Drosophila melanogaster: one gene and its partners. The protein of the gene in region 3 interacts with the protein of the main gene of each other region in a pairwise test. Each region holds a gene or a part of one and is shown on either strand. Other genes may lie near its edges.

Evidence for each region. The genes of interacting proteins can lie anywhere in the genome.
Region 1: the proteins of DCP1 (region 3) and eEF1gamma interact in a two-hybrid assay, tested with the Drosophila melanogaster proteins (one large-scale study listed by BioGRID).
Region 2: the proteins of DCP1 (region 3) and aqz interact in a two-hybrid assay, tested with the Drosophila melanogaster proteins (one large-scale study listed by BioGRID).

What each region holds. Positions count from the first base shown.
Region 1 is NT_033777.3:29,217,994-29,223,624, reverse strand, and holds eEF1gamma (eukaryotic translation elongation factor 1 gamma), read right to left. Parts: upstream 3,454-5,631; 5' UTR 3,425-3,453; exon of another isoform or gene 3,421-3,424; intron 3,362-3,420; exon of another isoform or gene 3,356-3,361; 5' UTR 3,329-3,355; coding exon 3,317-3,328; intron 3,196-3,316; coding exon 3,046-3,195; intron 2,983-3,045; coding exon 1,849-2,982; 3' UTR 1,516-1,848; downstream 1-1,515. Other genes in the region: Brd8 (bromodomain containing 8), read right to left, coding at 1-55; Cisd2 (CDGSH iron sulfur domain 2), read left to right, coding at 286-382, 856-1,079, 1,144-1,224. UniProt on the Drosophila melanogaster protein: Microtubule binding protein involved in regulation of microtubule-based transport. Probably plays a role in anchoring the EF-1 complex to other cellular components.
Region 2 is NT_033777.3:8,813,668-8,823,106, forward strand, and holds the start of aqz (aaquetzalli), read right to left. Parts: upstream 7,016-9,439; 5' UTR 6,645-7,015; exon of another isoform or gene 6,261-6,644; intron 5,971-6,260; exon of another isoform or gene 5,951-5,970; intron 5,597-5,950; 5' UTR 5,054-5,596; coding exon 4,196-5,053; 3' UTR 1-4,195. Other genes in the region: CG8369 (uncharacterized protein), read left to right, coding at 8,431-8,458, 8,802-8,999, 9,057-9,115.
Region 3 is NT_033778.4:23,887,674-23,892,823, forward strand, and holds DCP1 (decapping protein 1), read right to left. Parts: upstream 2,604-5,150; 5' UTR 2,520-2,603; coding exon 1,401-2,519; 3' UTR 1,091-1,400; downstream 1-1,090. Other genes in the region: CG5597 (uncharacterized protein), read left to right, coding at 201-391, 452-729, 808-1,072; DNAlig1 (DNA ligase 1), read left to right, coding at 2,923-2,939, 2,997-3,059, 3,115-3,405, 3,466-4,098, 4,154-4,779, 4,833-5,150.

The DNA.
Region 1 (5,631 bases), on a different chromosome or scaffold from region 3:
ACGTGTCCAGCGGCATGCGGCTCAGTTGCAGGCGCTCTTGTACCCCGGCAGACATTCTAAACTGCAATTTATTGATTTCAATCAATAATTCGTAAACAAAACAGAATGCTATCGATGACTACACACGAATCTGTAATACTGCCTATCGTCGAAAATGCAGTGTGACCCTAGCACTGCGATACCGATAGGACTGGCTTATCGATTTGCTAGCACCGCTAACCGATAGCAACACAAAAACAAGTTTTCCGAATTTAATAGCCAGTTAAATAAAAAAGGCGTTTCGAAATGGAGCCCATATCACATCTGGTGAAGTCCTCGCTGCCCAATTACTTGTCAAGTCTGCCGGTTCCCGACAGCATCGGCGGCTGGTTTAAGCTCTCCTGTAAGTTTGGGCAATGAGCGTGGTTTTGCCCATTGGAATTTGATTTGCCTTCAAAGGGCGCCCCACATAAACCCAAATCCACGATAATGACGCAGCATCTAGGGGGGCCAACTAAATGGACTACTAAGGTGCAAATGTGGCGTGATATTGCGGAGCTGCTAACGGGAATTGGAAGTGCAGTGTGTGCACTTCCAGGCAAAAAAGTTGCAGCGATTATGCAACAACTGCTGAGCTCGCCAAGAAATTTATAATTGGAGCAAGTTTGTCTCGCAGATAGGCAACTAGATAGACGCATAATACAGGCATACCAACATGGGTATACCTATAAACATATATGCGCATATCTTGGTGCGTTTATAACCCAATATGTGTGTAGGGAACGACCTTGTGCCGGTTACGGCTGATCGACCAAAATATCTAGTTATAAAGCTTAAAATGCACTGCATTCCGTATTAACCTGGTTTCGTTTGCAGTCAAGGATTGGTTGGCCCTGATCCCACCCACCGTGGTGGTGGCCGGACTCGGCTACACCGCCTACCTGGCCTACTGTCCGGCGGCACGGGCCAGCTGCGCGGCCAAAAACAGCGGACGCTGCAACAACCACATCCGCAAGAACGAGCCCAAGGTGGTGGACATGATCGACGTGGAGGATATTGCGGAGAAGGCGGCCTTCTGTCGCTGCTGGAAGACCAAGAACGTGAGTGCATTCTAACCTCTGAAATATTGTGAACAAAATTTTCAATTGAATCCTCTATTCGCAGTGGCCCTACTGCGATGGCAGTCATGGCGAGCACAACAAGCAGACTGGAGACAACGTCGGACCAATTGTCATCAAGAAGTAGATTGCGGCGGTGCATCGATACACAAACGTTCTAGCATTTCCTCTCGCTGAGCTCCAGTTTGCTTTTAAAACCAATAGTAGTGGCCGAAGCTGTTTGAACCCTTGTAATTGTAAGCAATAATTGATGATATTGATGGATTAAGTTAAAAGGAGCCAATAAAATTGCCCAAACATAAATTCAAATCGATATGCTTAATTCTAATTACTAATAAATGCCAGACCTAACCTTTACCAACAACCAAATAAACCACACACACACATACACACACGTGTGAGAGAAAACCGTGCTGTTATTAATAGAAAACCTTTTATTTTTTATAAATATTTTCTGACTGCAGGCGGCTGTTCCGTTGACAATATCATGCTGTGTTATGCTTAGGCGGTTACAAACAAATTCTCCAGTACAAAATGCAGGAGGCGAGACACACGATTCCGCCAAACGTGGGAGGCAGCACGACAGATATTGGATATCTTTAGTGTACTTATCAGTTGGAACTTAAGAAATGGGCATTGTGCTCTTCCTGCATTTTAAATCTCAAACTTTATTGTTACTGCTGCTGTTGTTGTTGTTGGTCTAAATGAGGGCGGCTGCTGCTTTGAGCGGAGCTGGGCTAGGCAGAGATGATTACTTGAAGATCTTGCCCTGGTTGAACTTGCGACCGTCCTTGTCGGTGCCGGACCAGGAGAAGTACTGGGTGACCAGCTTCTTGGTCTCCTCGCTCTTGGCGTCGAGCTTCTTCCAGTCGTAGACCTCGTAGTCGATCTGCCAGTCGGGGGAGAGCGTGAAGGCCAGATCCTGTCCGCGCCACACCCAGATACCGGAGATGGTGCTGTTGCCGTCCTCGCCGAACAGGCAAACGGAGGCGAAGGCCGCCTTGCGCATCTTGTCCAGACGCTGGAACATGCCGGTGATGAGATTGCACGACATGAACACCTTGGACAGCTCCTCGTTGTATTTGTACTCGCCAAACCAGATCGAGTAGTTCTCGGCATCGAACTTATCGAAGAAGTAGGGAATGGACTTGGCCTCGTCCTCGTTGGAGTACACGCGCTTGAAGTCATCGAAGTTGAAGGTGCCCTTGGGCAGCGCATCGAAGGGGTCCTTGGACTTGGGCTCGGCGGCCAGGGCCTCATCGGCGGCGTCCAACTCCTCGGCGGGCTCGGCAGCCTTCTTGGGCGCCTCCTTCTTTTCCTTGGGCTTCTTCTCCTGCTTCTGCTGCTGAGCCTGCTGCTGGGGCTTGGCGGCTCCGGTCTTGGCCTGGAACTCGGCGTACTTCTTGGGGTCGAAGACCAGGGCCTTCTCGCACAGCTTGTAGTCCTTGACGACGGCCTGGACCTGCTTCTGGTTGAGGATGGTGACGAACCAGCGGTTCACGTTGCCGAAGGCACTGCGCACACTGGGCTCCAGGACGTACTCGTACAGGTGGAGCAGACTGCTGAAGACCACAATGTCGGCCAATGTGATCCTCTCGCCGGCCAGGAAGGTGGCGTCCTGCAGCTTCTGGTTGAGCTGCTGCAGCACAGCCTCGGCCTCTTGCTTGGCAGTGCTGTTCTTCTGCTGCGGCAGAATGCCCAGCAGGGGGAAGACCCAGGCACAGGAGGCAGGCACAATCTCGTTGTCGGCGAAGGAGATCCACTGCTGGACCTGGGCCTGCACGAAGGGGCACTTTCCGCCGCGCAGCTGCTCGTTGGCCAGCAGGTAGGCGATGGCATTGGACTCGCTCAAGTACTGTCCTTCGGCGGTCTCAAAGGCGGGCACCTACGGGCACATATCGTGTTGATGACCTGGCACTAGCCACACCCACAAAAAAAGCGGACTCACCTTGCCACCGGGGAACTTCTTGAGGAACTCAGCCGACTTGTTGGTCTCGCCGAACTTGAAGTTGTCGGCCACTTTCACCTGGGCTCCGGAGTACTGGGCTGCGATGAGCGCCTTGTAGGCCCGGAAGTTCTCGGGGTAAGTGTACAGAGTCTGCAAATATGGGTGGATTAGTTGTGATATCGTGGCAGCTAACCGGCATCTGGAAATTCGCAAATTCACATGGCTCGAAGCCACGGATTGGAAAATCCTCACTGCCCTTGTGCGTACGTACTCCTTTCACCATGGTGGATTCGCCGTTTAAATCGTCTGCCTGCAAATACAGTATTAAATACGATATAGTGGCAAATTCAGCGAAAAAACGCGGAGCACACGCACTCACCGGAAACGAAGAAGAGAAGGGACGGAAACAGGGCTGCAGGAGTCATCATGGTTACGGCGATATATCGATATTTCCTAGGCCATTTTGGTCATCGATGATTTCTATTCGACCTCGATGTTAAATTATACCTAAAAACATAAATCATTATCGTTTTTGGTATATTTATTTATCACATTTCAATTTGTAAATAAAGTCCAATAAGTGGGGTTTCAATAACAGCGTGCTGTTAAGCGCAAGGCGTTCCACCACTAACTGATCGTTAGTAAGAAAGATCCAATTTCAAATAAGGTGCGTTTATTCTAAAACGACCCGTATTTTTTTGAATTTAAAGTGTTCCCCTATGAAGATATCTGTGATCTCGTTTTATATTTATATTTAGCATACTGTTTAGTATTGCCTGATATTTCATAATTTAAATTTAAATACAGTGTTGTAAAGGGAAAACATAATCTCTGCGAATAGCAGCCTAATCGATGTTAACAGCAGCGAACTATGTTAAGATGGAAGATGAATTTAAGGAAGATTTTTAATTTAATATAAAAACGTTTTATTTATATTACAACGTCAAAGAAAGCAGTATTTGTGAAGTTTATATATTGTTGACATCCTTAAGTTCTTCTGTTGTTTAGGTCAATGATCTGAATATTGAACATTTTTTATCTCACATTAAATATTTGCCGTGTTCATAAACCAAGAAGCCAAAGACGACGCATTACTTAATGAAAACCATTACAGGTACTTTATTTAGATGCTACAAACATGATCACTACGTTCCCCCCACCCCTGCAGAATGCATCAGCATCGAATCGATCGAGGGCCTTCCTTCTCGACAGCATCCTCTTTTTTTTCCGAACGGAAATGCCGCGCATTGGGACGGACTGAGTGACTGAGTCGGTGTCCCGGGGATCGGGGCAAACATTTTTCCAGCTGCCGCCGTCGTAGAGTTCAAGTTCTGCATTGCTCTAATCGCTGCATTGTCATCTTCTCCAGCTCCAGCTCCAGCTTCTACTCTGGCTGCAACTCCAACTCCAGCTGCAGCCCCTTTTCCCAATCACCGCTTGGCGAAGTGCAGGCTTTCGCTGCTTGTGCTTGTTCTGAGCCGATGTTGCTGTTGATGCAGTTGTTGCTGCATCTGGTGGTGTTGGAGCCGTGGGTTGGTATGAGTTGGTATTGCCGCGCTTGTGGGAACGAGCACACATAGCAGGAAAACTATTTTCAAATTGGAAAGGTTTTGCACTTCTCCAACGCGCCGCGTTCGACGACGACAACCTCTTTCTCGTTAGTTTGTTCTTTTAACTATTATATCAATTAGTTGCGGCGTTTGACGGCTTCTTGTTGCTGCTGCTGCTGCTGTTCCTGATTGTTATTGCTGCTGCTGCTGCGGCTGCTTCGACCAGGAGGAAGTGGAAATCCAGTGCAGGGAAAGCCAGCTGCCGCGGCCGTTGCAACTGAATGCGCTTCTCGGCTTTGCCACCGCCGGTCGGGGTTGCAAACTCGCGGGGCCCATATTCATTTAGAAAATATGTAAATAAGCCAGCCGAGCCGCCGAAGTGAAGTGCCCTGCTCTCTCCTCCCTGCGGTGCGTTGGCATTTAAATGAGCGTGAAGCAAATCGTGTGGGAGGAGTAGCTTCATGGCCGTGCAGCAAGTGGCCATACAGTAGCCATCTATCCCTAGCCACGGAGCACTAACAATGGCCCACGGGGTTGAAAGGTGTTCCGGCTTCATTCCTTTGGCCTGAAATTAAAATTGGAGAGCAGCGAAATGCTGTGTTAATAGCGGCAGCAGGTGTTACAGTTACACTCAAACGCCCACGCAACAGAACGCACATACATACGTACATATGTAGGTACATGTGTATGTGTCGTCTTGTTGTCGTTGGCAACAACAACTGCACCGGAAAAAACATTGTAGATTATCCGTTTTAAGTATGATCTTTTACTTCGATTATTATTTTACTACTTCCTCTATTTTAATAGCACTTTCTAGCATTTTGAAACGAACTCCATTCAGCAAGCTTTAAACATTTGATAATACAATTCAATTGACATGACAATCTTAACGAAAAGGTCGTTTAACTTTTAATAGAAGTGTAACAAAAACCTGTGGATTGTAAATAGATTATTGTACAAGTACAAGGTATTATGGATCACTAAGACATTTGCTACTGAATGGTTTTCTGTTGAATTTGCGTAACTAAATAGTTCG
Region 2 (9,439 bases), on a different chromosome or scaffold from region 3:
TGGATGGGGTGTTTTTTGGGAGGGGATTTACACATTGATTGTTTGATCGTTAGGCAATTGTTTGTTTTGTTTGAGTTTTAACTTGACTTTGCTGCTAGCTGAGCTCTCTGGCTACGATCTTATCGGTCGTCTCATATCAATTTATGTATATAAACTTCTTAAACATGTATGTATCTATTTTGTGTAGTGGTGATGTGGTAAAACTTTTAAACATTTATCGTTATCATGCTGACTGCTGTGTAAGAATCTATAAAATGCTTACATGTTGTTGCGTATCTATATAAATTTCCTCAACGCACAATGACAATTCGCACTTATTGCATAGTTGTTAATGGATTCGCCGATCCGATTGCGGTTGCATCTACTCAGAACTAACATAGGAACAATCAGGATAGTTTTTCACATCGAAACGGAGTTGGAAATGGTTCTATTACATGTATGCCCTTCGGCTCTGTAAAGTTGCTTATCGTTTTATTTTACTTTGCATGCATTTATGTCGCAATATCTGGGTGTTTGTGAAATCGCAGCACAAATGCAGCTGCATTTATATATGTAATATGTATGTATGTATATTTATATGCATATGTACTATATGCGCATTTTCCTTTGTTTCGATCTCCTAGCAAAGCGCTTTTTAGTTTTCAATTTTATTGTGGTTCTTTCTGTCTTTCTGGTTGCTCGCTTAGATATCGTGCTCAAAAACAAAAACATGTGAGAACCTCGTAGTGGAATTTTTCGGAGCACATGTTGTTCGAATCGTCTGGAATGTGGAGGGGGTTATGATTCTCTACGGGGGGTACGGGGTATGGGGATCTTGCCGATTAGCTCTGGAATTAAAAGTGCCAACGAAAAACTGTACGTGATAACGCAAATAAAAACACAAATTTGTGGATTTTTTTTTGGTTAATCATACAAAGCCTTCATAAATTTCTTTACGAAAGCCATGTACAATTGTTTATTTCTTTTTTCTATTGTTTTGTTGTTGTTGTTTGGTTTGTGGGGTTTTCTTTCTTTTTTCTCAAATTTTAAAAGTTGACTTGGATTTAACACATTTCCAATATTGCTTTACAATTCTTCTCAGATTTTTATTCACAATCGTTTCTATAATTACAATATAGAATTGCGAGTTTGCTCTTCATATTCGCATTCATCTTATGGTCCATTTAAGGTAATTGTAAGGGTATTTAATTAATCGTTTTCTCTTCAGTTGTATTTGTTTTTAATTTGTATACATACCAGGTTTAAAAATATAGCAAAGTATCACAAAAAATTGCAAATTAAATTGTAAATTAGATCAATGGAGAAATTAAAAAAATACATAGTGCTTGGTTGCTTTCTTTTCATTGTTTTTAGAACGACGAATCATGTTTCGGCTTAAATAAAAGAGGTTAAAAATAATATTCGAACTTGGTCGAATCGTCGTCGTTACGCTTTAAATTTAAATTAAAAAATTGAATTTGAATTATAATTTCAGAGGCCTTCAATTCGCAGTCGCCTTGGTTGGGGACACAAACGCCTTGGACTCGCAGCATGGAGAGCTCCGCCGCGATCTTGTTTCGGGCTCCCAACATTGAAATGGAAATTATTTTGTACTGATTGGTGTTGAAAAAGTCAGCGGGCCGGAACGTTTGTGCCCACAGTCCAAGGCAGAGCGGGCGAATCTGGGCTGTTTTGGTCTGTTTTAAGTAAAGTGGTTTTCTCTTCTTTTGAATTTTACAAATAGGTTTTGCATCTGTATCTCTATCCTGCTTCAATGAAATCTAAGCTGTTCTCCGCTTAAACTGACGTCCAGTAAGTAACAAACGTTTTGCTTACACTTAAAAAAAATGCAAAATTCTGCGCGACAAGTTTTGGGTCTTTCTGTGGGGTGTGTGTGTGTGTGTACTTCGTATGGAAAGGGGGGTAAATGGGGGTGAGCTGGGGCTTGCCCGAGCACTGCTCGAGTGACCCCTGCGATTCAATACTCTAAGTAGTGGGTATGTTGGTGGATGGGGTGTACTTGTAGTGTAACTTGAAGATACAAGCTTTAAAGCTACCAATATATGACAACTTGCTCAGTAAACCTAAACAGTACTTGACTTTTTTGGCTTTTCAACATTTTTAAAACTATCATCGAGTGTTTTGTTATAGTTTCATATCTTTTCATCTCTCATTCTCGTGTTTCATAATTTAGATGGTTCGGGAAGTTAAACAATATGCGTAAACAAAACTCAAGTGCGATCTTATTTCTGGGATTTTCCACTATCATTTACATTTTGGGGTTCCTTTTGTTTTTGGCTTATCACTTCGGTGCCAATTCACTTGGCAAAAACACATAACAAAACTCACGCTGCCTCTTTCTACGCAAAATACAAATAACTTTGGATTGGCTGAGGATATCTGGAAGTGTGGGAGGCTTGGGATGGCTTAAATAATTTACATACATATTAATATTAACAATTAATAAGTAATGCTAATAATGAAAATAAGGTACTGGGTTCAAGTGTTTCAGTATTGAGCATCAACGAATAGTTTACATAAAGTAGTTTCATTTCATTCTCATCTCGCGATTACTATATCTTTTCCTCTCTCGTAAAGCCTTCGCTTTGGGGATTGCAACTTATATAGTTTTTAGTTGTTTTCACAATTGTTGTTTCCGCTCGGCGCAAGATCAAACATATTTTGGATTAAATAAAATCTTGCTTGCGCCAATAGCGTGCTACCACATTTACAAGTGCTGATCTTCTTATGATCTTATTCTTATTGTTTATCGATTTCTCGTTTTTAGAAAATTTTATTTGAACATTTTAGCGTTGTTCCCTTCTATGTACAATTCAAGAATGTTTAAATTAGAATTTTTTAAAGCCATTTCGCAATTACACATTAAGAATAATTAAACATGTTTGCAGTTCGCATTTGTAGCTCAGTATTTTTGGGCAATTGCTTCCCTATCGCGCGACGTAAAACTAAAAGTAATGGAAGTATCTAGGTTGGTCAAAATTACAATACAATTGTGGATCAATATATCTTAAGGTAGAGGAGAGTTACAGGTGTTGATTTGCTTTTCATAGGCAAGTTGAGTGCATTTTGCGCTGCGGCTCTGCTGCTGCTCTGCTGCGGCGGCTGCGTTGAGTTGTTGTCGTTGAGTTTTTGTTTGAATTAGTCTTTGTGATTTGGTGGGTATACGATTTATAGTAGTTGCATTATTATTATTATTAGTTAATAGGTATTATCGTGTCTCTTGAATATACTCTGTTAGCTTTTGCTGCTCTCTGCATTTATTCTTTATCAACATTTAAGGTACGTTGCACATTTTGTCCGCTTTTCGGGGGATAAACATAAACTGTACGTTATGTTGCGCTTCTAGCGTCCATTTTTGAATTACTCATAAATATTATTATATTTATAATTTTACTTATTAATTAATTTTCAAGTCTATTTGCGTATCACGTTTAAAACAATGTTCAGTTGTGAAGTATCCGTTGTTAGACATATAAAGTTCTTCTTCCTCTAATCGGGCTTTTCCTTCGCTTAAGTCCTCTTTCCATTTGGTTTTCCTTGTATTTCAGCCAGGCATCCATTGAGTGTTGTACTGGTTGCAGTTTGTCGATTGGCTGGCTGTCTCTATAAAGATTGCGCATTGAAGTTGACAGGGGAGTTTTGGAGTTTGGGGGAGATGTTCTATGTAGCGGGGAATTTTGCATCTTTTTCGCTGTGTTGATTTGTTCTCATTGTCGTTCGTTGTTGATGTTCTTTTTTGTCGGTCGGTTGTGTGAGGACAGTAGTTTGTGTGTTTTTTACTTGTATTTTGTTTGCTTTCAGTTTTCTTTTCTTGAAACAGTTTTTCTCTTCTCACCTAATAGCTTCTCAAATTGGTTTAATTGTTTTATGATACACACTTGAGATCACAAACATTACTCTTGTTTTTTTTTTTTGTTTTTGTTTAAAAAAGTTCAAATTTCCAGTTGAAATGTTTTCGCTTTTTTTGTAAAAGTTTTTTCATTTTCCATTTTTTGTTTTATGTTTTTGTTAATTTTTTTTTGTTGGTTTTATGTTCATATCGATTTTTTTTTGCAACTCATTGACGGGTTCGGGGTCCACCGGGTGTTCTTGCCATTCATGTCGGTCCTCCAGATCCATCTTCAGATCCAGCTCTAGATCCAGATCCTGTTCCTGCTTTCCTACTCCAGACACTGATCCTCCAGCACCAGTGTGGTTACGACTGCACATTGAGCAGCAACTTTAGGTTGTGCGTGTCGAAGTCATCGAGGAGATTCCGCTTCGAGCGGCCTGTCTGCATCGGCACCTGGAACTTGGGCATCGACGGCATCATCATGGGAAGCTTACCCTCCGACCTGGACAACGTCCAGTGCTGCGGTGGCTTGGGCAGCGCCGTTGGAGCTGGTGCATCAAAGCACTTGCTGCCCGCGAAATGCGTCAGTGCGGTGGGTATGAGTGGGTGCTGCTGCATCTGGTGCTGGGGCGATATCTTTCCGCCCAACGAAGGGCTCTTCCTCTGCTTGCGAGCCGATCCTCCGACGATTCCCGGCGAGAAACCTCCACCCAAAATGGTGGCTGGTGACTGCCGAACCTGCATAGCTCCCTGGGGCGAACGTCCTCCTCCGTTCCTTCGGTTGTTGTTGGCAAAGAAGAAGCCTCCACCGCCTACAGAGGATCCCTGCTGCTGCTGCGGCGACTGGCGCTGCTGCTGCGACTGCTGATACTTGTTCTTGGATCCGGTCGACTGGGACTGCAGTTGCCGTTGCCTCTGGTTCGGGGGCGTGGCAAGAGCGGATAGACCCAGGCCAAAACCGAGACTCGTGGGCGAGGAGCTCAGGAATTGGGCGTTATTTGTACTGCTGGCAATACTGTTGGAATGTGCAGTTACCAAGGGCGTTGCTGGTGCGGATGCGGATACGGATGTGGGGGAGACGGGTGCGGATGTGGGCGAGGGGGTGGATGAGTTGGATGCGGAGGTCGCTGATGCTGCTCCCTTTTTTAATCGTATGGACTTGGTGGCCGATGCGGTTGTCATTCTGATGTTGTTTCTAACGCTATTGTGCGAGTATGTCATAGTAATTTCGTCGCTTTCCGATCTCTGGATCGATATCTCTCTCTCTCCGATCTCCTCTTCTCTTTCTCTTATTAAAATTTCTGCTGTTTTCCCTTTTTGTTTTTGGTTAATTCGCTAAATTAATGCTTAACGTTAAATATCACACGCACTTAAATCAATTCTTTATAAATCGAAACCAAACGCCTTCTGATTCTGATTCTGATTCTGCTTCTGCTGCTATTGCTATTGAGATGTTGATCTAGCTGCGCCGCTCTATTTTCTTTGGTAGCTGATAGTCGCCGAAGTTGAGATGACCTCCAAAATGGAAACGAAAAGGGCGACGGGCGGCTGAGCACGTAGCTGCTTTTCCACTTCTCCTTTATGTTTTATGTACAGCTGTTGTTTACTTTACTTTTAGTTTTACTTGTAACGTTATGTATTGTTTATCAGTCTGTTGATTTATTTTTTTTTTACTCCGGTTAAGCTATCCTTAGCTATAATTTCGCAAACTCTCTGTTCTTCGCTGATTTAACTGCTGCTTTCGCATTCCAAGCCGTGCTGATCCTGTTTTTTGGAGAAGAGCGAAAGAAACCATTGAAAATTCGAAACGATACATATTGGCTTATGTTAACAGGAAAATAGTTGAAGTCTTATTTCTTATGAAACTATTTATGAAATCAGCATCAACCGCATTAATTACAATGCAGTTTATTGAAATACATTCTTACGTTAAAAGGTCTATATTTAAATTTAGGTTGAGTAAGAAAGATAATATGTACATATACACATGGAAAAAACGTCAGTATACGACAGAATACCTTTTTTACCTCAGTACGAAATGTAACGTTCCAAAGGTAAAACAAAACAGTTCTATTTCGATGGCCGCGTGTGTGTGTGTATAATAAGAAACGGGAACCCGAAAAGGGGAAATAAGACATGTAACGATTACATTTCCAGGTAGCAACAACCTGTAACGTAGTGCTAACTACGTAACGGCTGCATTATCGTTTTAGCGTGTGACTGTGTGTAGACTGTGTGTGCTATTTACGTCAACAAAAGGTGTTTGTTTGGCTATTCAAGCAAACTTGGGACGTCAGAGGGACGACCCCACATGTATATATAAAGATACATATGTACATTTATTTTGCGAGAATACCTGAATTAATGAATCAACACACACACGCGCATACATACACACGCAGCGATTACTAACACAATTGCGACTTACTTTTTTGCCGTAGACCTCACACCAACGAGTGTGCTTGCGTGCGTGTGTGTGTCGCAGTTTTCTCAGCCACTTCGTTATACAGATTTCGATATTTCGACAAGCGTTATATACAAAATGGGTTGAGTTTGGGTTAAAAGTTGCCTTGATTTGGATGTTTCACTTTAAAATGTTGCGGAAATTGGTTTGTTTTGCGTTTTTTTTTTTGCTCTTTTCTTCGGATTTTATTTGGGGTTATATGTGGATGTGTTCGCAGCTGTGTATATATATGTGTGTGTGTGTGTTTTGTAAAATCACTTTCAAAATGGCGACGGGCTGGCTTCGTATTTATATATTTATATATATATATATAGATGTAATTCCGCTTAAAGCTTTCTCTTCACTTACAGACAAAGGCTCAAAAAAATCACACTTTCAACTGATTCTGATTCGGATTTTGTTAAACTCTTATGTACACCACCGTCTATTGCGCAGCGTTTATTTCGAATTTGATTTCCGTTATTTGCGCTCGCCAAGTACTCCACTTTAGTGTGTGCTCTTCTGTAGCCTCACTCGTTGTACTTCGACGCGTATTAAAATATTAAACTTTACACAAATATTTGATTTATGTCACTTAACTTAGAACATTTACAATATGCGTTACATATATATTTATTTTTGTAGCAGAAATTTTAATCGATATCTTTATCTTCTTCGCTTATGCTTGTTCTTTGCGCATCGGTACGCTTGCCTCGAATTTTCCACCATGACTCACACAAGCGCACGACTGCGCGGACTTTTATATGCCCGCAGCGGCATTGCCAAGCCTAAAAAATAAATTTCCCTCTTTATGTATACATCGAAATATGTTTAGGCAACTCTGGGTTCGAGACACGGGTGAATCAGTGGATACTCAAGCCGGAAAAGCTGGAGGCCTGTTCAGACATGCGGCGACCGCGGTTAGTAAATTAGTAATTATTTTTTATGACCAACCTATTGTTTTTACTCAAAATAGTCAATGTTGTGGATTCGGGACTTGCACGTGAAACAAATGTTCAATATTGGTAAAACAAATTAAATCTACCTGTTTTTGATTACTACCTACCTACTAGAGTTGTTACATCTGCCGTTATAAGAAAACAAAGTACGCGGCAATTTGAAATTGAATATAATACGACAGCTGGCATTTTGGAATGGATTTCGGCCTAAATCCGGATTATAGTTATCTTATGTAAATAAATATTCAATTTGTTTTAGTTTGGCGCATAAGCGGTTGTTTTTGTATATCATTATATGAATAGTTAATAAAAATTGTGCATGTAAATTCAATAGATTAAGTGCACGTAAAATGAGAGCATTACGTTTGCAATTAAAAATTAAGCCATTAAACACGAAATTGAATCAATTAAAGAATGTCATCTTCTCCATATTCGGATTACTGTCTTAATTTTAATGGTTGAAGCTCAAATTGAATTCAACGCCCTTGCTATTTTTGTGTTTTTGGCAAATAAATTAGTGTTACACAATCTTTTTAAAAGAGAAGATAAATGTGATATTACATTTTATTGAACAGGATCAGTTGCACATATCTTTTGAAATCAGCCGAAGTAGCTGAATAACACAAGTAATTACCTTATACAAATTCAATGCATCAAGAAATCTGACACAATGGGGTATAGTGGGATGCCCCGTCAAGAGGATAAATAAAATAAAATAGGATGATGAGAACCGCTTACAACCGGCGACGCGTGTCACTCAAAACCCGCCCATGCTCAGATCCAGCCTGATCAAACCCATTATCTATCCAAATTGCTGCGACAGCATCGTCATTATCATCTCGTTGACCCACCATTGTTATCCCCCGTTGGGTTACCCATATAAACAAGTGCACTTTATGTTTACTTGCTTGTTTTTAATACACACCGATCCGCGATTGTGTGGGTTGAGGTGAGAGATACGATTCCTATCACACTTACTTATATGTGTCGCCGGTTTGCCCATTTATACATATATTCTGCGGCTGTGTCTGTGCTGCTTTTCTATTGTTCATGAGTCCGGCTTTGTATATAAAGGTGATCAATCTCGCAGTCTAAAATTCAGTTCACTTCAAACGCGACTCGAAGCCGGTTTTTGCGAAAGTCAAATCTTTTTTATTCTAGTTGTGATTTCGTGGAAATTTCGATTATTATTCAAAATGCGTTTCGCTCTGTTTGCTTTTCTAGGTACATAAAAACAACTCTTTCCATTAGCATCTATAAAAAATACAAAGGGTATAGTTAGTTTAGGGATCGAAAATAAACAAAATTATAAATACAATTTTGGATCAAACGAAGCAATTTGTTGTATGATTGGAAAGTGCAAAAATAATTGGCTATCCATTAAGACCAAAAGCCCAAATGAATGATCTCACGGACAGAATTATATTCCGATCTACAAAAATATAATTTGCTCCGAACGGTGATGCAATTAAATTAAATAAAGTACTAATACATATTTATCTAGTTTTCATTTAAACAAACATAATTGAGCGGGCTTAAGAATTTTAACATGACCAAACTTATTTAGCACTGTGCTTGCTGGCATTCGTCCTGGCTACTCCGGCCAAGGACACCAAGAAGCCGGCCACCAACAGTTGCCAGCACAACTGCGGTGAAGTCTACGAGCCCGTTTGTGCCAAGGCCAAAAACAGCAGCAAGGAGCGCCTCCTCACCTTTGGCAGCCCGTGCGTCATGGCCAACTACAACTGCCAGCATGCCGACGATCGTAAGAGATCCTCTACAATATCCTTACAGAATTAAATATGATTTAATCCTTTTGCAGCATTCGAGCAGAAGTCCAAGGGCGAGTGCGGCGGTGGAGTGAGCGTTCGCCTGTCCTAGAAGTCCAATTTCAACACTTTTGACGATTAAACATCTTTCACTGATTGTGCAATAATATATTCATGTATTTTTTATTCCAACGGGAACGCTTTATTTGTTTTCGACACAAGCTTGTATTTCGCATAACAGAACGGAAAATTTAATTAGCTCTCGGGACTACTTAGAATTCCCCTACAAAACACACACGTGCATATGCATTCATACAAGATCAGTTCCAGCTATCCTTTAGTATCAATGACAGACGATTCCTAAACTTCTATGCACTTATCAGCAGTCACGCGGCCAATCTGCAATCAAAATCAAAGCATTAATCAGTTGGTATGA
Region 3 (5,150 bases):
GCTTCTCGTAAATATACGCTTTCGCCAAATTATATAGATTTTTGTGTACAATGTGTTTTGGATTTGCCTGTGCTGCATATGTACATATATTCCAAATAATACCGCGCGTGTTCTGTAATTTCGAGACCTCGTCGTGCTAAAAGCTTTTCGTTTCGTTTCTGAATTCTGCGTTCTAATCAGTAATATTCGCTCTCCCCCAGATGCGCTATGCTATCCCACGAGGGATGAGTCCGAGGACAAGATTATAGTCCTTCAGAACGAGGAGATGGAGCCCACGATCCTGGACTGCGACTACGAGGTGGAGGAGAGCCCGAAGTTCATCACCGTCAAATGGTACAGAGACGACAAGTCCATATACCAGTGGATCTTCGGAACACCTCCATATGCCATCGTGAGTGAACCAAACGGTGTGGTGCGCTTAAGATACTAACCGCTTTCCCCTCCTTGATAGCCCGAGTTCAGGAACGAGATTGACAGCACCTATGAGAGCTCCACGGAGCCGAGCAAGCAGTACAGCTCGCTGGCTTTGATCAACCCCACGATCGCCACCACCGGCGACTACAAGTGCGTGGTGCAGACCTCGCTGAACACCTTCTCCAGCCACCAGAGGGTTCAGGTCATAGACCTGAGGAACTACACCCTGGAGCTGTCCCACAAGACGATCCACAATGAGACGCAGCTGAACTGCACCGTGACGAACGTGTATCCCAGGCCCACCATCACGATAATGTAAGGACGAGCGCCTGCCTTGTCGTAAGACAGCCTTGTAGTAAACAACGTCCCAACTCAACTCCGCTCCTATTACAGATCCAACGACATGGACGTGGTGAAGCGGGAGCCCATGGTGTACGAGAACGAGGAGGGATACTTCGATGGCAGCGCCGTGGTGGCGGCCTACGACACCGACGACGATCCCGATGCCTACCAGTGCGTGGTGTCCTTCGAGGGATACGGCAAGAACCTGACCACGGTGGCCACGTCCGCGGCGGCGGGCAGGAGCCACGTCGACTTCAGCCTGTGGCTGTTTTGTTTTCTGTACTACCTGCTCTGCAAGCTGAAGGTATTGGCCTAAATAAAAGCGTTGTTATTTATTGTTACTAAATTAATGTTTATTGAATTCTGTTTGCCATTCAACTACCTTTTCTACGCCCCTTCGGCCTAGTTAACCATTTTGTAAATAAATACGAATACTTCACAAAACCAACTACGTTAGTTAACTCTTAAGGTTGCTCTGGAAATGGATGCCGTCCTTCTCCGGCGGGGCTTCTAGATTTTAAATCTACGACTGCCCTTGTCGGCTTACAGCTATTACATTTTGTAAATTAACTCGGCTTGAACTCGAACTCCATGCGAACAAATGAAAATATGGGCTGCAATTCGGAAATGTTGAATATTTCTGTTTATTGATATGTGGAGCTGGAGTCCAGCAGTAGATTGGAACAGCCGTTCAGGTAGGCCTTGTGCAGCTTGTTGGCAAACTCCTTATCGTTCTGGATAAGGTACGTGAAGGCCTGGACGAACTGCGTCGAGTTCAGCAGTGGCTGCTGTGGCTGCTGTGGCTGCTGTGGCTCCGGATTGCCGTTGTTGGGCGCGTCGAACATGGTGGGCGGCATGAGGGCCGGCCCGGGCTTGTCGCCAGCCAGCAGTCTCCGCAAGCACTTGCCGGCATCGTCGTTGGCCATCAGCGCCGACGAGGACGGGGCGACTGTCGGAGATTGAGCCGTAGCGTAGCTTTTACCGATCTTCAGGTCGCTCAGGAGCTGAATGTTAAGCTGCTGCATCTTCTGGAAGGGCGACAGCCGGCTCTCGTGATTGTCCCTGCCTGCCGGGGGCAACAGATCCTCGCCAGGCGTGGCTGCCCGCTGCTGTTTCTCCAGCTGGTCCACGGAGAGCGGCTGGACGCGGTGGAACAGTGACTCTGCCGTGGCCTGCTTGGCCGATTCGAAGAACTTCAACACATTGCCGGCCGTTACGTTCTCCGCCGAAGGCGTCTTCGGCTGCCCGCCGCTCACCTGGGCATTGTAGTCCTTCTGGGCCTTGGTCAGCATGTTGAATATGCTGGCCGGCTGGCTGCTGTCCTGCTTTGGCTGCTGGGGCGCGGAGACGTGACGCTGGGCCTGGCCATTCGTTCCCTGATCCTTGGACTTGAGCAGCCCGTTCACCAAGCCGCTGATGCGGTCGCACTCCTCGCTGTTGTAGAACCAGAAGCCGCGGATGCGCGAGCGCTCGTTGCGGTAGAGCAGGAACGGCGGCTGCGACTGCAGCTCCAGGCTGCCGGTGATGGGCTCCACGAAGGACGTGGTGTTCAGTCGGTTGTTGATGAAGATGCTGTGAAAGGGCTCCGCGTTGCGGTGGTATATGAAGAAGGCTCCCTCCACATCGGTCTTTTCCCACTCGTTCTGCGACGAGTTGAACGTGTAGAAGGCGACGTGCGAGGACGAATCCACGATCTCCTTGGCGTACGGGTCGATCTTCTTGATGGCCGCCAGGTTCATTCGCGTGATGCTCTCGTCGGCCATTGTAAATTGTATGTAATCTTCAGTTTTGGCTGTGCTATTGCGAATTGCAATTATTTGTGAATTTAACGGCGCTCTGGTCACACTGCCCCGTGGATGTTTTCCCGTGTTTATCAACGACTGTGCTGCGGTCACACCGAATGACAATAAACTCTTCCTTTTGTCTATTAATGATTTGTTTGAGAAATATTAAGTCGATTGACTTGCATATAAAAATGGCCACAATTGTACGTAATAATATTTCTCAATTATGTAGCATAAACATTTAATTTATGTTTACTAATAAAATTTTCAACTTCGATAGCATTTCCATTTCAATATATCGATACTGAAGACCAGCTCTAGAAACTGGCGGGAACTAATTGCATTGCAATTTGTATTTATTTGAACACAGAATTGCCACAAAATGCAAAAGTCTATAACGTAATTTACGATTTAACAAATGCTAAGTATTGCCAATCTAACAATCCCCCGTTTCAGCTCCTTCTTCAAGAAGAAATCCGATGCCACCGACAGCCCCTCGCCGCCCAAGAAAGTTCCTAAGTAAATGGTGCCGCTGTTTTCTTGTTTCATTACTAAATTCCTCGACAAATCATAGGATTGATGCGAAGACCGAACTCCCAGATGAACCCCACATCAAGAGCGAAAGTGCCTCCCCGGAAACTAAGCCCAAGGTAGAACCTATGTCTGTGGATTCCGAGGAGAAGACAAGTCCGGTGAAAAATGTTAAGAAGGAACCAAAGGAAGTCGATGACAAGACCACTGACAAGAAGGTCACAACCATAGGTCTCAACTCCACTGCCGCTACTAAGGAGGATGTGGAAAACTACGATCCATCCGCCGACTCCTATCATCCGCTCAAGAATGCCTACTGGAAGGACAAAAAGGTGTAAGTAGTGCAGGATTTTGAGCCTCCAAGGCGAATTATATCAAAGGAAACACTTTCCAGCACTCCCTACTTGGCACTGGCCCGCACATTTCAAGTAATCGAGGAGACCAAAGGCCGGCTCAAGATGATCGACACGCTGAGCAACTTCTTCTGCTCTGTGATGCTGGTCAGTCCGGAGGATCTTGTGCCCAGCGTCTACCTCAGCATCAACCAACTGGCGCCCGCCTACGAGGGACTGGAGCTGGGCGTTGCCGAGACCACCTTGATGAAGGCCATTTGCAAGGCAACGGGGCGTAATTTGGCTCACATTAAATCGCAGACGCAGCTAACCGGGGATCTGGGCATCGTGGCCGAGCAGTCGCGCGTTTCACAGCGCATGATGTTCCAGCCAGCGCCTCTGAATGTGAGGGATGTGTTCCGGAAGCTACGCGAAATAGCCAAGCTATCCGGTCAGTCGAAAATGGACCTGGTGTACAATATGTTTGTGGCCTGTCGATCGTCGGAGGCTCGCTTCTTTATCCGTTCATTGATTGGCAAGCTAAGAATTGGCATTGCAGAGCAGAGTTTGCTCACAGCGCTGGCCATTGGTTTGGTGAAAAAGAACCACATCGATGATTGCAAGGCTAGCAAGGTGCCGGATGTGTATAAGGATGAAATAGTCGACACCACTTTGCTGTTGAAAACTGCATACTGGTAAGAACTAACTTAAGAACCAGCTAATAATTCAGATGCTAACGAACTTTTGCAGTCAGTGTCCCAACTACGATATCATTATACCGGCCATTCTAAAGTACGATATTAAGGAGCTGCAGGAACGCTGCCCCATGCATCCCGGCATGCCGCTGAGGCCCATGCTCGCCCAGCCCACCAAGGGGGTCCATGAGGTATTTGAGAGATTCGGCGGCATGCAAATCACCTGCGAGTGGAAATACGATGGAGAGCGGGCCCAAATCCACCGCAACGAGAAGGGGGAGATCAGCATATTCTCGCGCAACTCCGAGAACAACACGGCAAAATATCCGGATTTGATTGCCAGGAGCACTGCCTTGCTCAAGGGCGACGTAAAGTCCTACATCATAGACAGCGAAATTGTGGCCTGGGATGTGGAGCGCAAGCAGATTCTGCCGTTTCAGGTGCTCAGCACGCGCAAACGGAAGAACGTTGATATCGAGGAAATCAAGGTCCAAGTCTGTGTCTACATCTTCGATCTGCTGTACATCAATGGCACTGCTCTGGTGACCAAAAACCTGTCGGAGCGTCGCAAGCTCCTGTTGGAGCACTTTCAAGAGGTCGAGGGCGAGTGGAAGTTCGCCACTGCTCTGGACACCAATGACATAGACGAAGTGCAGCAGTTCCTGGAGGAGTCTATCAAAGGTTTGCCCTGCCAACCAACCTAAAAGTTGTTTACTTAAGCTTTATTTCACTAGGAAATTGCGAGGGCCTCATGGTCAAAACATTGGATGAGGAGGCCACCTATGAGATTGCCAAGAGATCCCGCAACTGGCTGAAATTGAAGAAGGACTACCTATCCAATGTGGGCGACTCACTCGATTTGGTGGTCATTGGTGGCTACAAAGGCAAGGGCCGGCGAACTGGAACCTACGGAGGATTTTTGCTTGCCTGCTATGACACCGAAAACGAGGAGTATCAGAGCATATGCAAGATTGGAACTGGCTTCACTGATGAGGACCTGCAAACGCATTCCGAGTTTTTGGGCAAACATGTGACCAGCGCCGCCAAATCCT